3 linked regions of the Schizosaccharomyces pombe genome follow. Changing the gene in region 2 together with the main gene of any one other region gives a genetic interaction. Each region holds a gene or a part of one and is shown on either strand. Other genes may lie near its edges.

Region 1 (6,546 bases), 2.5 Mb from region 2:
GTATGCGGATCATACAACCTTCTGACAAATTTACAACGCATATGCACACTGACAAAATTCGATGTAAACACCTAAAGCGATTCAACCGCCCGTAAAATGATGACATGGATTTCAAAAACAACAACAAAATTCGAACTTTAGCTTTTACATACTACTCCATGTGCGTTTGTCTATCCTTTGTATAAGATGCTCATGATGCAAAAAAATACGGTCAGGGAGGGACTCGAACCCTCGACCTCACGATTAACAGTCGTGCGCAATAACCAACTATGCTACCCGACCTTCTTGCTTACCTGGTAACACAGGTAATTTTATATATACAACTAATTATATAAGCTCTTTTTATTATTGAAGATTTGAATAGTTTAGTATACAAACAAGTAAATGTCCATACTAAAAATTCCTCCTTTCATATAAAAAAAATAAAATAGAAAACATATAACGCCTATTTGTCGACCCTTAGGAATTAATCACACCTGTTGGTTTGCGATATGAATATGTTTATTGAATTGATGTAAACTAAAATTCAAGCCAAAACTAAAAAAAAAAAAAAAAAAAAAAAAATATATTTAAGGAAAAATTAACCAAATGGGTAGGTAAACAACTATAGTCGGCCATATGAATTTCCTGTAGTTAGTTTACATTCATTTGCTAGTAAGGAAATATAAATCCTATTAGCTTCAAGTGTTATAAGAGATTAGAATTTTTAAATATATAAATAAACCAAAAAAAAATAGAATAGTTAACAATCCCCCGAACATAACCTTTTATCCTGAGCGCTGTTTTGTTTGCTTTGAAGAAAACAAAGAATAACAAATTCAGATAATGAGAAAGTCTCGTCAAAAAATTGTATTTTATATGAATAAATAACGATTGAATCAGTATTAGAAAATTATTAAGTTAGGAGAAAATGGTCCACTGTGTCGGTTATTTGACGAATTGCCATTCCGATAACTAAGGTCCAAAAGAATAATTATGGTAAAATCGAAATAGTACGAAATAAAATAAAGAGTATAAATAACAAATTTACCAATCTGATAAATCACTCATCCTAATGATTGGTATAGGAATAGACAATAAATGCTCCTTTCATGTTAATTACTAGGTGAGCACAGACGGTAGGAAGTGCACGTAAGATGCTTAAACAACGTTCCACAAAACATTAGGAAATAGTACAGCATTTGGTAGTGGCCTTATCCTTCGTCGCTTTACCAGGCTTAAAATGCTGCTGCTGCTTTGTCTTCGAACTGACTGACGGATTTGCTTTAGGCGGAGCAACCGATACCATCATTGGTTCCGGTATATTATTTGCATAATTAGCAAATCTAAAGTTCAGTTAGCAACTTTTCAAACTTTGAGATCAAATCAAGCATTTTTTGTTTCACGTCATGAAATTTGCTGTAAAAACACTTACTCCTGTCTTGCTTGTTGAACCGATATTTTTTCATTCAATAAAGCCTCTGTTTCCATTTGTTTAAGGACCGATCAACTACAATTTCAATAAGTAATGCCTGTTAAGTAAAATTATAGCCTTGCCTGACCATTTCATCATACATATATGTAGGTGTGCTTCTAAGCGCACTAAGTATCGTTATTTGATTATGTTGTTTAACCTTATATTCCCTAATATAAAAAGAGGAAAAAAAATAGAATAGCAGTTTTCCAATTGTAAATTTGACACTACTCAAATGCCTTTCACTTTCAGGATTTTTTTATCTCTTTAGTTTGTTCTTTCCAAGTAGAATACGCATATATTACACTTCTCTTAACAAAATAATTGTTAATGCGAAAACATATAAACAATAAACTTGTGACAGATACAAAGATTTTGTCATTGGGAGGACAAAGTAGATACTTTATGTTGATTGGATTTTTAAAACGAAATTATGAATTCTGCTCGTAAATTTCTTTACTATCGTTGTCTTATTTTCTAAGTAAAGAAGTTACATAACCAAACTTCCTATAACTCGAAGTAGATTAGTAAATTCAACCACCTTAAGTTTCCTTTTTTTTTAAAAGAAAATTTATTATTTTTTATTTAGACTTCAACAATTCTTTGGCTATAGATTTGTTCGTTTATTTTTTAAATCTCAATTAGGAAATGCTTTAATTAGAGTTGAGCATTGTTTCAAGGGAATAGTTAAAAGATATTTGCAACAATTTTCATATTTTTTATTTTTATTATTGAATACATGGGGTTCTAATCTTGGTATCTCATATTAATAGTAAACTCATATCCTAACTTTAGATGCGATTTTGCTTGGAAATTTGGGGAAAGAAATAAAATCAATATGATATGTTTTTCTCGTTTCCGTAAAGTAGAACTAATTAACTACATACATCTTCGACTTGAAAAAATCACCATCTTATTATAGCTTTTATACATCTGGTACTCGTCACTGGCCTATAACCAGTTGGCCAATTCTATAACCTACAGTGTTCCGACTAGTTACGAGTTTTCTATTATGAGCTTAAATCTACTAGTCAATCAGGAAGAATTAAAGAGATATCTGGATGAATATGGTGGTAAGAGTTTTTCAATTGATGCATTTTTGCAAGTCATTCTTTTATTCACAGTTTCATAGTATGGTCCAAAATATTTCGCGCGCTGTTTGTCGCCCGTAATTCTAAGCCGTTAAGAAGTTTTTGTGTTCATTATGCCATTAAAGAATTGAAAGAAAAGACATATAATCTAGAGTTGTACCAGTCTCTATTCGAGGAGTTTCAAGATTGCTTCGAAAACGAGCAGCTGGACGTAGAATGGGTTGAAAGCGTTACTTTTCATAGGAAACAAAATCTAGAACAATTAAGAAGGGAACTAAAAGCCTATAAAAACAACTTAATACGAGAATCTATAAGAGTATGAGCTACAAGATAACTTTTTGCTTCACAGACTTTTTATTACATCCTTTGTTACAATTCTAACAACTTTAGGCGGCACAACTAGATTTAGCTTCTTTTTTTGCTGATGTGGGCCAGTTTGATAGTGCTTTAAGATCATATGCCAAAGTTCGCGAATATTGTACAAATGCTGGACAAATTGCTCATTTATCCTTAGAGTTAATGAGAATTTCTATTTGGATTGGTAATTATTCTCATGTACTAGCCTTCGGGTCTCGCGCCAAGTCTACTGTTAGTGCAGCCATGGAGCTAACTAGTCCTATTTATGCATACTGTGGATTGGCCAACTTTTGCTTGGGTGATTACGAAGAGGCCCTGGCTCATTTTTTAAAAGTTGAAACTGATACCTCTGATGGTATTATTACAAAAACTGACATTTCAGTGTATATCTCACTTTGTGCACTAGCGTGCTGGGATCATAAACGTCTGATTCAAGAGCTTGAAAGAAATGAAGAGTTCAATGCTTTGTCAGATTTAGACCCTTCCCTGAGACGTTGTTTGCAAGCGAAATGTAATCGCAAATATAGTCTTTTGCTTGATACATTACAGCAAAATGCTCAAGACTATTCTTTAGACATGTATCTGGCTCCTCAATTGACAAATTTATTTTCCCTTATTCGGGAGCGTTCACTTCTTGACTATTTAATTCCTTACAGTGCTTTGCCGTTCAGCAAAATTGCAGTTGATTTTCATATTGATGAGAACTTCATTGAGAAAAATTTATTAGAAATAATCGAAGCCAAAAAATTAAATGGCAAGGTGGACTCTCTTCAAAAGGTAAGTATAATAAATCTGCTATATTGGTCTAACTTTATAAGCGTGTTTATATCGAACCTTCTTCAGAGCCTGAAAACTTCGAGGACATAAAAAATATCGCGCAAACTAGTTTGCTTTACAGCAAGGCTCTTTACTTACAAACATTGGCGGCGATGAACACTGAAAATACTGACGACGAAGCTCCAGTTATCGCTCAAACGAACATTACCGCGGAAGATTCACAGAACTAACAAAAAGCATGCACATCATATAATTGGTTAATCCTTTACTTACTTTTTTTGAAATTTCATTAATTATTTAGCTTATGAAGATTTAGTTGCAGCTGTTGTAGCTGTTGCCTTTTGTTGCATAATGTTTTGAACGGCTACAGAGAATTAGCAAATTGTTGATAATAAGATAAAAATTGATCTGTACTGTAAATGCTCATACCTCTAATTTGAACTGATTTTGCGTCAATGGCATTGTTGAGGTTCTCGATACTGCTGGCGAGATATTCACATTTTCTTTTATAATATTCGGTAGCTTCTCCAGCGGACTAATGTCGTTAGGTTTAAAAATCTCTTATATATTAAAAATACCTTTTCAACGTAATAACCAGTCCCAATATCGACCAACAATTTACTGTTTCCTAAATTCAGCTTTCCAGGAACATACAAGCTTGAAGTCAAAGGTACCAAAACCTCCTTTCCTATTGACAATAGTTAGTGAAACATATGCAAAAAAAATTTCAGTTTGTCTATACCATCGTTCTCAGCCCGCACAGCATCGTTAACGTTTGCCAGGCATTCACGAAATTTCAATTGAGCACGTCCTAGTTGTCCATAGGAGGTCGATAGATACTCTAGCTCAGAATCTAACTGTTTTATAACTTCTGATAATTGCTCCAAGCTGAGAGAAGTCAAATCGACCGCTTTATTACCTTCAGCCATTATTACGCTTCTATTAGAACAGTCAAGATACGAAGGAACTGGTAGAAATTCCAACGCTGCACTGCATTAAATTACAGGTACATGGTAATCCATTTCAATATACAATCAGTTAGTTGGTTGAAACAATATTTGTTTTAAACAGTTATTCAGAATTATACCAAACAGTGAAAGTAGAATCGAATATGTTATTGAGCAGAGGGACGCTATAGAATATATCAATATAGATGATAGATTTTTCAATAATTAATAAATTATGAGCATGAAGATTAACAAAATTTGGGAAAATAATACTAGTTAGGATGCATTATAGTGCCATTGATTAGAAGTTTAAGTATAGCTTTTTAAGCATCATTTTTTTTGTATGGATCAAATTGAAGCAAATCTTTATCGTTTTCTACAACATCACCAACATCATCTTCGGTATCTGAAGAATTTGAAGGTGTTTTTTCAGTCGCCGTAGTTTCCGATGTGGTAATTTCAGAAGTAGTATTTTGATTGCTAGTACCATTTGCGGTACTTGGACGAGAAGCGGGTTTATGCCCACGAAATGTTTTACCAATCCTATTGGTATCAATTACCAAAGAATCCAATAAACCTCTCAAACCTCCGGTGGTTGATGATTTTTCTTGGACTGGAGCTAAAACGATAGAGTCGGCGAGTCCTCCAGAAAATAATTGCTCTAATAAACCAATTGATAAAACAACCATTCTAAAAGTGGGAAGACTAACTTTGATATCACTATTAGCACCAACAGAACGGTTTTCAGAACCAGTACTGCTCATATGGTCGCTTATATCAATCAACGTATCAGAATGACCATCAGGACTAGCTTCATCAGCAAAATGAAAGCAGCGTTGTATGAATTCGCTAACTGCGGATAGATACTCATCACCCATAAACCTAGTTAACCAAAGAATAGCTTCTGAAACCTTCAAAACGTCTGGTTTATCCATAAAACCATCTCCATTAAAGTCATAAAGCTCGAATATAAAAGATATATTGCGCATTACATCCCTAAATTTCAATTCTGCAATACCGGACACCAAATCCTGTAAAGATAATGATCCAGTCATGCTTTTGTCAAATCGTAAAAACAAATGACGAAGAAAGGATGATGAATTATTGATAGCCGCTGCATCCAAACCTTTCGCCCATTCAGTAACTCCTGCTAAAAATATACAAAATTCGTCAAATTCCAACCGTGTATCAGTAGAGCTGCCTAATCCAACTCGATGTTTGGACGACAATACTTCATGATAACGGTCGTAAATATTACTTAAATCCGTACGTGTTAATGTACCGTAATTTTGTAAACTCCTAATTTGTGTTCTCTTTGCAAATGACTCAATAGAATTCATAACTCCTTCGTAATGTTTTTTCCTTTCATCTTCAATTAAAGAGTGTGTTATATGGCTAAACTTCTTGAAAGCAGTTACCAATAAAAGTTGAAACTTCGTGATAGAGGCAACGCGTTTATCTGTTGCATCTTTATAAGCCTTATCTCCCAATGATGAAAAATAATTTTTTAAAATTGATATCAACATAGTGTCTTCTGTAGCCTTCATAATTTCAGCTTCGTTGTCATATAGGATAGCCATTCCAATTTGAAACAAAACCCTTGGACCCTCTAGAAAGAAAAAGTCTAACAACCTAAACGCATACGGTAAAGGCATTGTGCAAAGGAAAAGCGACAAAAACCACGGCAAAGAAATGATGCTAAGTTGAATGTCTTTGCTTACAAAATGCGCATGTAAGTTAGGCATTGAGCGTTGAACCAAACTTTCGTAAACTTGTTGATCAATTAGAGTGCCGTACATCGTCTTTGAGTAATAACCCGGAATGTAATCTTCACAAATCTTATGCATCAGAAAAAAGGTTTGTTCCTCGGTGCAATGAATTAAAAGAGCAGCTGCAACAATATTCATTGCCTGACAATAAC
Region 2 (8,589 bases):
AGACCCATCTGTAGAAGTCGAATTTTCAAATTCTTCGTTAATGTTTTGCTTAGGTGCTGGTTGAGTCTCGGAGATGGTTTTCCTGTCATCATCGGAGGAATAGGAAGGACTAGAAATTTCAGAAATTTCATCCTCTAACTGCAAATTTTGTTGAGTGTATGGTCCCATTAATGGCATACCAAAATCAAATGAATTCTCCAAATTGAGGCTTGCAAATATATTCTCCATTTGCAATTGCTTTAGCGTAAGGTTGCTTACAGTAGCAGAGTTCTTCTCCTGAACTTCTTTTTCCATTTCCAAAGTTGTAACGCGAGATTGTAATAACTCATTTTCTCTTGTCAAAGCCTCTAATCTGTTCTGCAATGCATTGTTCTGCTTTATTGCATAATCGGAATCGGGATCATCAGGCTGGGAATTCATAGCCTTTACAACTTCAAGCTCAGCACGTAAGGCAACCATCTCGTCGTTCAAATTTCTAACCTGGTCTTTCGCATAATGATGTGCCTTTATTTGTTGCTCAAATTGCAGTTTGACATGAGAAATCTGAGACAACAGATCCTTTTCTATAAGCTTGGCAGCTTTTTTCTCATTTTCCAATTGCTGGATATTAGACTCCAATTGCAACAAGGACTGCTGTTGCTGATACTTTTCAGAAAGATATACTGAACACTGGGCACAAAGTGTATTCGCCTTATCTTTACTCAGGTTGGAGGTATCCGAATGGTCATCTGCTAGAGATGAATCATACGTACAAGGCATTGTTTCTTTAGGTTTATCGTTATTTTCAGCGGCCTCAGAAAACCCTTCCCTATGAAGGCGAGCCATATGTTTACTCTGCTCTTCAATGATATCTTGAAGCTCCTTAAGCTTTTTCGTATTTTCATCTCGGACACTTGCTAGAAGTTCATTGCTTGAAGCAAGCTCTTTCTTTTGTGTTTGGTATAATGACAATAGATGGTGCAGAAGAAAGCAAAATGATTCAATGTCAAAATCAGATTTCAAATGTTTATCGAGTTCATCATCAGGAAGTGCATTACTCTTCTCTGGCGTATCATTGTCGCCGCGAAACAGCTCAGTAAGTAACCGCCAAAAGTTCACAATAGCGCGAGGAGCAATATCTTTCGCATCAGCATCTTCCTCCAACTTTTTCTCGTATATTTGTTTCAAAATAAGCTCTAAGTGACGAACTTGCTCGAGTAGCCGTTCACCAGCGTTCATTTGTACTGCATCTAGGACAGATGGTTCACGAATTGAATTACCCATTGATTGAGCAATTTCCAGTATACGGCTCATACGCTCTACAAGCTGCTCAATTTCCTCATTGTTCATTATTTCTTCATCTCGAAATCCAGTTGCGCTCTCATCAGCGGTGATGGCAGAAACCGGTGAAGATACCTTGCTACAGCTACCTGGTTTAAGCTCAGCAATGCACACAGCAACCATATGCTTCAATAGGTGCATATAAAATTCTGCAAGTTTCCTTTCAATAAGCCATATCTTAGAAGAAAGTTCTCTAACTCTACGAGAACATTGTTCGTAATGCTCTATCGTACTTTGTTTATGTTTTCCTTTTTTCTCCTTAGCTTGGGCAACCATCAAATTCTTAGCAGCTTCTCTAATTTTGGCTTCGACAGCCAGTTTTTTTATAGAAACACCAAGTAATCCCTGCAGGTTTTTTATTTTCTGTTTTATTTCTTCAACGTCTTTTCCGGAAAGGTACACCCAACCTTTTGCATCTTTAACAGCAGACGCAACTAAAAGGGTTCGCATTTCCTCCTCACCTGTAGATATAGACACATCTTCAGAACTGCTAGCCTTTCCTACATACACGAAAGTGGATAAAAATGGATTGACTGGTCGTGTATTAATTAATATGCTTGAAGAAGGTGGTTCAGGATTCCCATATTTCTCAATTAACTCAGGTTCATATTCATCTGTACTTAAACATCCATGAAACCCCATTTTTGGGTAAAATGGGTAAATGTAAATGTTGAATCTTTTGTTTGTTTACAGCCGCATACGCTTTATTTTGTATGAATTTCGTTTCCATGACAACTAACATTGAAATGTAAATAAACAAAGCACCTAAGCCAACCTATTATCACGTTGCAATGATCGGTCGCTAAGCATTTCATTCTCCAGATTATACGACTATTAAAGTCCCTTTGCAATTTTAGGTTTGTGTATCGGTGGGCTCTGCTGTTTGTTATTTATCGACGTTGAACCGGTATTTTGATCAACATTCATTATGGTGTTTGCAAATAATCCACATTACTTTTTATATGTTAAAAGATTATTTAGAGCATACTTTAACGGTCCTACACTTACATTTATTACCCTATGTGACGAATTCGACCTACACATTTTTACTTAGACCACCTCAAAAAAAGTGATAATATTTTCAAGTATTAATAAGTCAATATTTAGTATATTCGTAAAAACTTTTGTCAAGTTCGTATAGGTTTGTAAATAATGAATGTGCAGATGAAACAAAATTTCGCTTAAAAGGTACACTACCATCCTAGAAGAGATTCCTAGGAACCTCAACACTGAATGGTCGATAACATGTGATAGAAAATTATGTGACAGTACGTTTAAACTTGGTAAAGTAAAGCCTCGTTATCATCAAATGCGACTTTGTTCAAAAACCCTTTTCGTTGTACAGTGCCCAATTCTGGAATGTGCTCAACAGACTTTGCATAATCTAATAAACTATACTGTTTATCGAGATGAACCAAATGTGGAAATAAATAGCCTACAATTTCTAGGTGATGCATGATAAAAAGCCAGTTTTGAGCTGTACGACTAGGTGCTGTGTTTAACAACTTAATAGTGTTTAGGTCATAAGTTGTTAATTCACGATCCACAGACAAAAACGTTTCAGCAGTTGAAGTTTGAACGCAAACAAGGTCAGGGAAACGTTGTACGCAGTGGAAACTAGATATTGGCATAACCAGCAACTTCGGATGACCGATTTTTGAAAAAATAACTTGCTTCTTCCAAAGGGCAAGGTTGGGGTCTAACTCTAAACTAGCAGAAAACTCCGCTAAGTACTTCCAGAGTAGATCTTGTTGTTGATGAGGAAATGAATCGAAATGATCTAGTTCACAAAGGAATTTGCATGGGTTGCTGAGAAGCTCGTTTGTATAATTAGTTTTTTCCTCTTCAGACCAAAAGAAATCAGCTTCCCTTGTCTTTGCTAAGGAGCTTAGCATGATATACCGCTGCTTATGTGCTTCTTTGGGTAAGATCAATGAAATAAGTTTTGTGCTGAAGTAGGATAATTCCCTAATGCTAATGGAATTTTGTTCTTCCTTTTCATTTTCATTTTCAGGATCGTTCAGTTGAATGAAAGATTGCCCAGTATGTTCACTGTCGAAACATAGTAGCAATCGGAGTAAACGTTCTTCTCTACAGCAACGAAAATCCCAACGTGACGAGACCCCTTTAAATTGAAGGACACTAAGTTCCTTTTCTGTATGTTCATAATTGCGTAATTGCAGGATATCGCTTTCATCAAACATAAAGCAATACTCCGCTCTTAACGTGTGTCCAATAACTAGGTTTTCATCATTAGCCAGCAACCCGTATTCATCCAAAATTTGCTTTCTTTCAAATTCATTACCCAGAGAATAGTATGGAGTTCCCAAATCAGTCATAAAGGTCAAGTTGTCATGAGGTTCCGTTCCTTCATTTTCCTCAATACTCTCTAAAGTCGGCACTTTCTTTTGACATTTACTCTTCTTGAACTCTAGAAGGTATTGAGAATATCCGGCGGGATCATCATTTTGTTCTTTTTCGGAAATTTCAACTGTTTCTACTTTTTGATTTGACAATTCTCCATTGTCAACATAAACAGATTCTGTTTCAACAGGATCACTATCAGGAGATAGGCGCTCTTTTCTATTTTCTTCATCGACTGATGAAATGGCTCGAAGGGCCAGAACACGCGGTCCATCTGGAAGACGTTTCTCATGTTTAACGACAAAGCCAGAGTTGGGAGATCCCATCAAAAACTTCCTAACAGAAATCAAAAATTTAGGATCATATCCATCAGTATTTGTTTCCAAGTCGGTTAATACCAAGTTGCTATTGACCTCCTCAGAGCTTCCAATAACCTTCAAAAGTGGAACATATGATGGAGAAGGCGCTAGTGTCTGTAATGAATCCTGCGAGTCATCATGCTCATTAGAAAATCCCAAGTCGGTTGCTTTAACCCCTAATTTATGAAAAATTTTCTTGGCAAGTGCTCCCATTTCTTGCTGTATATTTTCTAAAGATATTTTGCTTTTAGTTGAGTCAATCGTTTCTTTTTCAGAGACATTGTCAGAAAACTCCTGCTGGACTTCCTTTTCAATGTTAGTTTCATAGATGGGATGCATAGTCGTAGTATTATCAGGGTTCGTCAACTCCATATTTACTATACTATCTGAAACAATATTCTCTCCAAAGATACTACTCATTTTGGATCTTGAGGATGCTGGCAAAAGACAAGTTGAATGTTTGTTTACTATGGATCATTTGATCATTGCAGTCTGCATTTAGTCCACTGAGGAAAGTAAACAAAACTTTAAAATTCATATTTATTACTCAACAATGATTGTATTAGTATTATCTTGAACTTACAAAAATCTCACTGTATATTGCCAATTTAACTTGTTTACTTTACGAAACATCGCTAATAATGGACGCTAGTATACCTACACCTCAGTTGCAGTTCGCCATAAATTTCACCATTGAGAGTTTCTATACTAAGAAATAATATTTTCAAAGTTTTTATGAGTATTAGATGTCATTCTTATGAACAATTTGGAACAGTATGCAGTAAACTTGTCGCGACTGTAGATAAACATTCTCTAACAAAAGAATTAGATTAGAACGATTGGAACAATCGATTACTCTAGCACTTTACGAAATTGATGCAAATTTTTCTAAATGTCATCGAACAGTGACTACCAAAATCTTGCCTATCGTGGAAAAATACGCAAAAAATTGTAACACTATATGGGACTCTTCAAAAGTATGTTCAATGGCAACTGCCACTCATGATTCAGCTTGTAATTTGTATTATTTTAAGAATTAAGCTAACAGAAAACAGTTTTGGAAGCAGTTTTTTGAAGCAAGTGCCAATGTTTCACTTTCGGGTGTAGAGGAACCTGTTCCAGTAGAATCCAATCCAAGCGATCAAGATGTTATGTCTAATTCTACAGAGGCGGACCTACAGCTGCACACAAAGAATGAACATTTGGAAAAGAGGCATTCTTTTGTCGGAAAATCTGATTTTCCCGATGCAGCTGTACAAGGAGATAATACAAAAAACGAGGATTTTGTACAGTCCACTCCTAAGAAGATGGATGTCTCCTTAGAGGATATTTCGTTAGATGATGCAGCTTTGACCCCCATCCCGGCAAGGATGCAGACTCCGCTAAGAAAACCAGAAAATAATCCTCATACAGGTCGTAGTGCCCTTCTGCATCGCGTTTTAGATACAAATTGGCAAGTACAAGTGACTCCACGTGAGCCTAAGAATTTGCAATCTCAAGAAGTAATGGATATTGATTCTTCTCCTTTTGTATCGCCTTCTCCCATATCAATGAAAATGGACATGCCTTCACTTAACGATAGAAACTCTTCGCATGCTCTTTCTTTATTTGCAGAATTTGAGCATGAAAGCTATGATAGCATTAACCCAAGTGGAATGTCTCCACCTAAAACTATCCAATTCAGCCCGCATACCATGGGGGTGGGTTCTTCTCAGCAAGCCAACGAGCGAAGCCTGTCTTTGCAGAGGAAATTAGAAACCTTGAATGATTCTAATGATAGTTTTGTCAAAGAAGAAGATAGTTGGGAACTCTGATAAAGCACTGCTGAAGTTATCACCTTCGTTTCGCCTTTAGTAGTGAACCTTACTTTCGCATTTTTTCTATTTATTTTCTAAGCACATATGTCTACTTCATAAAATCCCACCTTATATTTATGTTATATAATTTTTTATTTACTGTACGTTCTATTTAATTTGGAAAATTCTTCTTTTAAGAGAATCATAAGTCACGGTATAAATACTGTAAACCAAGTAAAATTTGTATGAAAATAATTTTAAAATAAACTAAGAAAGCAAATAACTATAAAATTTTTAAATAAATTAGTATTATAGCCTAATTAATAAATCTTTTTACAGCATATCATTGAGAATATACGTTAAGACGAATAACGAGGTTTTAAAAATTCTAAAAAAGTCTAAAGAATTTTAGTGACTTGGTTAATAATAGTTTGCCTGGTTGAGCAGACAGGTGAACTTAGTATCCACCACTCTTTTTTGTGCAAGGAAAATGGGGTTTGACGTTGCAGGCTATTTACAATCATATTCATTGAAGGACTGGATTCGAATTATCGTATATGTTGGAGGATATATGTTAATCCGGCCATATTTGATGAAGTTGGGAGCCAAGATACAGGAGAGAGAACATAGAAAATCTTTATTAGAAGGCGAAGTAGATGGTACTTTAGATCCGGAAATGACGCATGGCACGAAGCCCAAAGAACATGGAGAATTTGACACGGATGATGAGGAAGAAGAAGAAAATCCTGATGCCGAATTCCGTTGGGGTTATTCAGCACGCCGCCGTATTCGCAAACAACGTGAAGAATACTTTAAGAATCAAGACAAATCTCCTCTTGATGCTTACGCTGATGATGATGAAGACATCGAAGAGCACCTTGAGGATTAATTCTAGTTGTGAGATAATATTCATTACTCCAAGCACTTTAGAAAACTTGTGTCATTTAGTTTGTTAATCATTGTTTTAATTTCTTTGTGAAAATTTGATATCCTTTTCTCTTGAAACCGTGACTGCATGGATGAAAGCAAAAGCTAATTAATTGAATGTAGGATTAATAATGCAATTTGAGAGTGCATTCTTTTCCTACGAGATCAACGAAAGTCCTTTGATTGTTTCTCCTTTTTCTTGCATTTTTAAGTCATAATATCTTTTCGTGAGCCAAGCTTTAATCAATCCCCTGTTAGGTTTAATTTCAGCGTTTAGATCAATTTATTTTTCTTTCCCACTCATTCCAGTATTTTGAGTTGAAATATTACGTATTCTAAATAATCCTTAAATGCTCTAACAAAATTTAAGTATTTGCGGTAATATTACGATAAACGCTATTAACGCATGCATATGGGTTCAAATTTGCTTATTTTGAGCTTGACATGTTACGTTTCGGGGTGGGCTCTTACCGTCCATGTTTCGATCATTTGGACGTTTGTTTAGGGGCTCTGAAGAGAGCCCTACTATCAATGATTTGACTTCAATAACCATTTATCCTCAATGTTTCATTAGTACTGGTAAAGAGTACGGTAGTGAACCCAAGCACATATCAGTTCATGTTCGCGGTTGGGTTTACGAGAACCCTGATCTCAATAATCTTGGTCGTAAAGATCGTTTAATGTTGAATTTACTTCGTAGATATGTCGGTCTGCCTCCAAAATCCAAAGAAACGGGAACATATCCTGAAAAGGATGACGAAAACACAAATTTGCAGGTTGTAGTAGACACGAAAGCTCAATTGAACGTGAACGTGAATGATGGAAAGCCTAATGATATTGAATTATCATCAACCTCTAAAACTGAGAATGATCCACCTTTGTCCCTGCATACGACTCCCGACGACTTACAGGGAAATGGCGTGAATGTACCTAACCCTTCATTGTCTGCCTCAAGGAGTTGGTATCAATCGGGGTATGGAATATCAGGATTTTTTAATCGAATTATGACTCCTTCGGTAAATTCTCAATACATTTCTACTATAGGTTTGGCCAAATGTGAGGAATACTTTGAGGAGCGCTCTTTAGCGTCTCTGCAACGAGGCTTAAAAGATGAGTTTGTTTTGGTAAAAATATATGCTACTGATAAGAATTTTGAGCAGAAAGTTGTTGCTGAATTTAACGTTGCTACGAATGTTGAAGGATATTTTATTATAGATGAAGTGATCCCGTTTTACACCACTAAAAATAACAAGTTTTCTGTGGAAGCTGTTCTTCTACAATCTACCTCGGAGGATAAAGTGATCAAAGCTTATATGAGCGAAGTACCCGTGTTAGATCGAAACGGTATTTCCATTATTTCAGACATTGATGACACTGTGAAAAATACAAGAGTTATTGAAGGGCCTAGGAAAGTAGGAGAGACCACCCTTTTAGCTCCTTTAAATACACAGACTATCGAGGGCGTTTCCGACTGGTTTCGTGTTATGACAAATCTCAACGCTACTGTACACTTTGTTAGTAATTCTCCTTGGCAACTATGGCCCACATTGTCCAAATTTTTTACCAACGATAACATGCCTTATATATCTTCCATTTATCTTAGACACTTTAATGGGGTACTCCAAAACATTATCGAGCCCGCCGCCGCACGTAAGCGTAGCAGCTTGTTAACTGCAATACGGTCTCTGGGTGATCGAAAAATCGTTTTGATAGGTGATAATGGTGAGCAAGATCTTCAAATTTATGCTGAAATGGCTGCATGTTTTCCCGAAAGGATTTTGGGAATTTTCATTCGCGATGTCATGTCAGACTTTTGTGGTGTA
Region 3 (5,625 bases), 1.7 Mb from region 2:
TAAGTCCCTGGATGAATCTGAACGAGAAGATGTTGAGGGAAGCTCAGCATGCAATATTTGTTGCATGTACCACCATTGCAATACAAGCATACTAAACATAACCACCAGAAGTAAGTGTGTAGGATGCATTAGCCAGGTAATTATGGTAAAGGGAAAGGTATACAATTTTGTGAGAAAAGATGATGATTGCTCGATTGAAGAATTGTCTACTTTTTCAGGAGCAACAGACGTTTCAGACGCATGCTTATTCTTTTTCTTGGTATGTTTAGTTATTTTCTTCCTCCTTCCCTTAGGAGAGACCTTATAGTTCTCAAAAGCAGTCAGAAGATCTTTAACGTAAGATGCTTGTCCCTCTTGGGCGCCCTTCTCTATTGGACCTTTAAGCCACGAACTTTTGCTCCATTCCACTGAATAGCTTATATTTAATTTCGTTTTTGAAGAATGAGCCCAGCTAAGTGCATATAAGGTCTTTACGACAAATGAAGTACCACTGGGAACATCAGGTGTTGAGGTAGTAGATAAAATTTCAATATAATTGTTTATGTCAAGGTGTTGTATTGTGTCGGTAATGTAGCAACTAGTTTGTCGGTAAGGGGGGGCAACGGGTTTGATGTATTGTACCTTACGATTCCATTTATCATCAATTTTTTCCCATTTTCCAATTTTAATTTCTGTAAGTTTTTCTGATTTAAAAAAGTTAATTATCCATGTGGTATCAGAGCCGCATAGTAAATTAAATACGGTGGACACTGAAAGGTTAACAACATCAGAACATAATACATGCGCTAATGGCGATCCTGTCCACTCTGTTGGAGGGTGTGAAGTCACCTCGGAAACAGATAGTAGTGAAGTGTCTGCCCCATCTTCATTCATCTTTTTAACAGAGTTACCGTCAGATAACACGACGTTGTCTGAATGGGAAGAGCCTTCACCTTTTGGTGATTCATCAGAAACATTGGACTGTGCATCTTCATTTGCTTCATCAGTGTTATTATCTTCATCATCATCCTCACTTGATTCATCATTAGCTTCAGTACTGGTTCCTTCATCTACACCTTCAGACCCTGCGGAAGAGTCTGCGTTTATTGACTGGTTTGAAGAACCACTGTGATGATTCCCAGAAGCATCCATAACACCATGGCCATTGGCTAGCGTGGTTAAAAAAGGGTGTGTATTTTTCCAAATTGCAATAATTAACTGATAAGTAGTGTCTCTAGAAATAAATGAAGCAAAAATATACCGGGCATGCAATGTTGTAATTTGAATAGCGTTAGGAAATACAACAGCGGTTGATTTTTTCTCAACTGAAACAATTTCTGTAACTGGTATAACAATATTGGTGACCCAACCAAAGATGCTGGAATTAAAACATATATGCGATTCAGAAAGGTACATCCTTCCGTGTAAGAAAATATCACGTTGTAATGCGCAACCGTAGTCATCAATCAAATGATCTTCGGGTGGGAGTACTTTAAAAATTCTATGGAAATCTCTGTTTCTTTTACTATTCGCAAACGCATAACCAGAAAGACGGGCAGAAACACCATTTGAAGAAGTTATAGAGACTTTCCGAGAAGGTGCTGTAATAGCAGAGCCTTGACTCAAGGTGTTTTCTAATGGAGGTAAATTAAGGTGACCAGTTGAAGATGCTTCATGGTGATTTGACCCTGAATGAGTACGCTCAAGTGGTCTGGATTCTTCAGCTATTTCTTCAGTATTCTCTGTATGGTTTTGCTCTGAATAACTTGTCTCTTCATTCTCTGCCTCATCTGCTTCGTTCTCCTGGTTTTCAAAATTTTCCAGTTTCAATTCGCCTTCACCGAATGGAGCCTCTTTAGATGGACTCTGCCTACCATCTCTGGCCTGTTGTTGACCTAAAGTCGAATGGCTACTCGCCTCTGAAGAAAGCTTTTCATCACTCATAAACCTTGGGTTACGGAATAAGCTAAAACCTCTATTTCCTTCGTTATTGACTCCATTTTTCAAGCTTTGGGATTTAGTTGGAGCAGTATCATTCAAAACGCCGCTTAACCTATTTACCGCAGTGTTCAAGAAACCAGCAAAACCGTTTTCTTCTTTCATCTAAAGTATGGTAATTGTCAGATCTTAACCAAAAAGAAGCTACGTATTAAATCGATGAATAAACAGTGCGATCTGATAACTGCTCATATGCGTAGGTTTTCTAGGGAACGCTCGTAGCTTTTCTATAAGCGTAATTTAAGTGGATAAAACAAAAGTCCCCACAATCAACTCTCCAGATTCACTAGCCGAATGTGGATTTTAGTTTAGTGGTAACCTGATTCTTTCTTGCAATTATAGGCAGAAATCCTCAAGCTTTTAAGAATAAATCTTTAAGAAATTTCAAAAAAAAACTAGATAGCCCCAAAATTCAAGAAGCAAAGAGAAAAGAGGAACCGTCCAAGTCTTGGTATTCTCTGAGGAAACGATGATTCACACTCAGTACTAGTAAAGGCTAAGTAACTGATGAATAGATGTCATACATACTGAATCGTTATTAATAGATAACGCGAGTTAATGTTTATTAGTGATAATGTTATTAAATACGGAAAACTCCGTTAACAATAATATTCCAGCTTCTCAACAGTCTTAAAAAAATTGAGGAACACGTCTTGACTAAATTAGAATTTCTAACTTTGATATTTAAAATGATATACACATTGTTCAATTCTGTTAAATTATTTGCTACTGTGTTCATTTTGTAGTCAGAAACCTACCTCAAGAGATGAATGTCGTTACCTTGGCATATAGAATCTTACCTCGCAAATGCTACCATCAGTTTAAAATGTTGATTTACTGCCGCAAAGTTTCAATGAAAACATCATTGCGAGCTGTTGCTATAGTGTATTTTGTTTAATGAATAAGAGAAGATGATTATATTTTAAAGAATGCAAAAGTATTATTAAATAAATGGATAGAATAGAGATGCGTCACAAAATTATAAATATTGGACATTAAAACAAACATAGGATTCACCGAATTATAGTTAAACAATATGGCCGGAATTTTGAGATTTATAGAACACATCAAAGCTTTGTTTTCTATTATCTCATCTAATAGGTAAGGATCATGCCAAAAAAAACAACTAAGGATTCACTCGATATGCAACTTGACAATCAATTTTGTGCATACTCGTACTAAAACTTCGTAATTGAACTTGTTCAGCATCTCTTAAAATCCTAGGGTCACTGTCTACCCAATCTGTTGGAACTTCGCTGTCTTTATCAGCGTATACCAAAACGTTAAACGTACACTGTTCTTCTAGTTGAGGCAAAAAGGTCACTGTAGCAGTGATTTGACGAATTAGAGCTTGAATTTCTTTTTGTACTCGCAGTTCATCTTCTTTGTTGCCAATGTTCTGAAATTGATCAGCTGTGTCAACCATCTCCACATTAAACTGCCACCGCTCTAAATCTTCACCTGAACATTTACTAGTAATTACCAAAATCAGTTTTTGAATTTTTTTTGCAAACATCCATTCTAAAAATTTGTTAATTCCAAAAGTGATAATAGAACAACAACTCACTGTGTAACTGAGATACAATTTTTCGAATGTAAGTCTTGACCTCTTCATCTACACTGACAAGCATATTTAATCCATATTTCCGAACAACTTTGAAGTCTTCTGCTGGGTAAATTCCTCGTTGAAAAAGGATTGAGTTCACCGCATATTCTTCATTAAGTTAGCATGGCATATTTGAAACATTTACAAACCAAAAAATTCGCTAACAAGTTTGGAAGAACCTTTCAGTGAAAAATTCGTTCTTATGGGAACGCTAGACATGTTGTGTTGTAGATTTTTGTAATAAGCAATAGGTTGTGTAGTAATTGAGTAGGTACTGCCATGATGGTTGCTTAGAGGTACCCTTTCAACGTAAAAGCAACCATATAAGCATTTAACAAACAAAAGTGAAAACTTTAATAATAAGACTACTAAAGCATTTACGCAAACTTGAAAGTAACTAATCTGTCATTTTAAACTCATTTCACTATCTCTATCATTAAAAGTCATTGATCGTAATAATGTCAGTTTGGGGACAAAATAAGTTCATCTCCTCTTTCAAACTTTAAAACATCTCTCCTTATTTCGTTATGGACTCTAAAGCCTTTTTCCAACATGATTATATAGCAAATAATAGCCCGACTCTCCATCTCTTTTTTCAAGAGCAAGTCTATAACGTCCATACAAACCCCTAAACTTAGTCAGTGAAATGTTCTATGTTTTTAATTAACTTACCTTTATTACAGGGGCAGGAAGCCAATGCTTTGGTGGTAATCGCCGAAACCCATTCAGTACCATTTAATCGCAAATTGAGAATCTTTAAATATATTCTCCAAAACTTGGCGACGGATTTCAACTTTTCATTATTTAGAGTGATATCCAAAGTCCTTAAAAAGTACTGTGAGTTTGTTGGCTCAATCTGTTGAACGGCAACATAAAAAAGGTACCAACAAGCTGTAACAACAGCATTTGAAGCAGATTTTAAAATTTTCATAGCCCTAATTTTTGGTTTGTTCTCTTGTCTCAACTTAGATTCAAAAAATATATAAACTTCCCATATAGCCGTATTTGCACTGAAAAGTGTAACTCCCTTTTCAAAAAAAGGTCGAACCTTGGGTAGATTATAGAATTGAAGAGTGGTAGCTTGATAATAAAAAATCAATGAACAATAAGAAAAATAGCATTCCATTTCTGAAGAAGCCCCCCATCCATAGCTTTCGAATTTTTGAATGCATAAATACACACAATTATCCATTGAATCCATATCAGTACAGTGTGTCCATATAGTATAGATAAGACAAACATACAGCAATTCTTCCTTGCTGGCGCAATTTTCCAACATACCAAATAGCATTTCGGATGCTCGATTATTATCGCTAGTTAAAGATTTATCACCAGGAAACAACAGGCATTTTATAATAACTAAGCATCCTTCAGTATCATTAATAAGTAGCTTTCTAAAAGCCCAGTTTTTGTATACATTTAAATTATCAATGTAGCGCAATTGGGAAGCATGGATCTGAAAAATTGTTTTAAAAATTGTTTCAGCCATAGTAAAAGCACCACTTAAGTGTTCCAATTGAGCGTAAGTGTTCCAAACAGACACTGAACTATCGTATTTTTTGAGAATCTTCTTTACAATTTTACTGAATTTGGTTAGAAGGAAACAAAAACATCTACTTACTTCACTTGGGGTTTCTCCTCACTTAGGTTCTTCGTCTCCATTTGCTTTAAATAAATTAAATAAACGCTCGCTAAATACTCATCGTCCGCCGAAAATACTAGTTGATGAAAAGCACGCTCCATTGATTCCTTCACATGATGTGCAAGGTTGTAATCAAATAACTTGAAATTTAAATTTTTAAACGACATAAGAGAAATGAAGAGATCAATGTATGAAGGTAGTATACTACAGGGAAATTGAAAGCTGTTTTTCTCAGCTATCTGTCCATTTATAAAGGATTCACTGGAAGCCATGCCAAAAAGCAAGTTGTAAATTCCTTTGTCATAAGAAGCAAACCATGAGTTTGTTGAAATCCCCGGTGGAAAAAGAGGTACTCCGCAAAATGCAAAAAATTTATACTTGAATGCGAAAGCAATCGTTT

What was found. A genetic interaction does not mean that the proteins touch.
Region 1: mutations in ask1 (region 2) and pfd5 together harm fitness more than expected from each alone (negative genetic interaction), as found in Schizosaccharomyces pombe (3 studies listed by BioGRID, with this or other methods).
Region 3: mutations in ask1 (region 2) and mad2 together harm fitness more than expected from each alone (negative genetic interaction), as found in Schizosaccharomyces pombe (3 studies listed by BioGRID, with this or other methods).

Annotation. Positions count from the first base shown.
Region 1 is NC_003423.3:4,025,479-4,032,024, reverse strand, and holds pfd5 (prefoldin subunit 5), read right to left. Parts: upstream 4,620-6,546; 5' UTR 4,608-4,619; coding exon 4,421-4,607; exon of another isoform or gene 4,367-4,420; coding exon 4,257-4,366; exon of another isoform or gene 4,214-4,256; coding exon 4,108-4,213; exon of another isoform or gene 4,043-4,107; coding exon 3,981-4,042; 3' UTR 3,909-3,980; coding exon of another isoform or gene 3,720-3,908; 3' UTR 3,679-3,719; coding exon of another isoform or gene 2,935-3,678; 3' UTR 2,882-2,934; downstream 1-2,881. Other genes in the region: heterotrimeric G protein gamma subunit Git11, read right to left, coding at 1,163-1,325, 1,415-1,470; COP9/signalosome complex subunit Csn1, read left to right, coding at 2,466-2,526, 2,586-2,860, 2,935-3,678, 3,720-3,908; SPOM_SPBC215.01 (GTPase-activating protein), read right to left, coding at 4,949-6,546. UniProt on the Schizosaccharomyces pombe protein: Binds specifically to cytosolic chaperonin (c-CPN) and transfers target proteins to it. Binds to nascent polypeptide chain and promotes folding in an environment in which there are many competing pathways for nonnative proteins.
Region 2 is NC_003423.3:1,559,776-1,568,364, reverse strand, and holds ask1 (DASH complex subunit Ask1), read left to right. Parts: upstream 1-4,713; 5' UTR 4,714-4,800; coding exon 4,801-4,817; intron 4,818-4,872; coding exon 4,873-5,020; intron 5,021-5,098; coding exon 5,099-5,857; 3' UTR 5,858-6,039; downstream 6,040-8,589. Other genes in the region: septation protein Uds1, read right to left, coding at 1-1,962; protein meu25, read right to left, coding at 2,595-4,463; protein trafficking protein Pga2, read left to right, coding at 6,330-6,728; app1 (actin cortical patch protein), read left to right, coding at 7,243-8,589. UniProt on the Schizosaccharomyces pombe protein: Component of the DASH complex that connects microtubules with kinetochores and couples microtubule depolymerisation to chromosome movement; it is involved in retrieving kinetochores to the spindle poles before their re-orientation on the spindle in early mitosis and allows microtubule depolymerization to pull chromosomes apart and resist detachment during anaphase.
Region 3 is NC_003423.3:3,292,452-3,298,076, reverse strand, and holds mad2 (mitotic spindle checkpoint protein Mad2), read right to left. Parts: upstream 3,803-5,625; coding exon 3,733-3,802; intron 3,692-3,732; coding exon 3,545-3,691; intron 3,499-3,544; coding exon 3,104-3,498; 3' UTR 2,882-3,103; downstream 1-2,881. Other genes in the region: sterol transfer protein Ltc1, read right to left, coding at 1-2,082; nrl1 (NRDE-2 family protein), read right to left, coding at 4,045-4,211, 4,256-5,166, 5,205-5,625. UniProt on the Schizosaccharomyces pombe protein: Feedback control that prevents cells with incompletely assembled spindles from leaving mitosis. It interacts with the anaphase promoting complex/cyclosome (APC/C) thereby inhibiting APC/C-dependent proteolysis, a step required for exit from mitosis.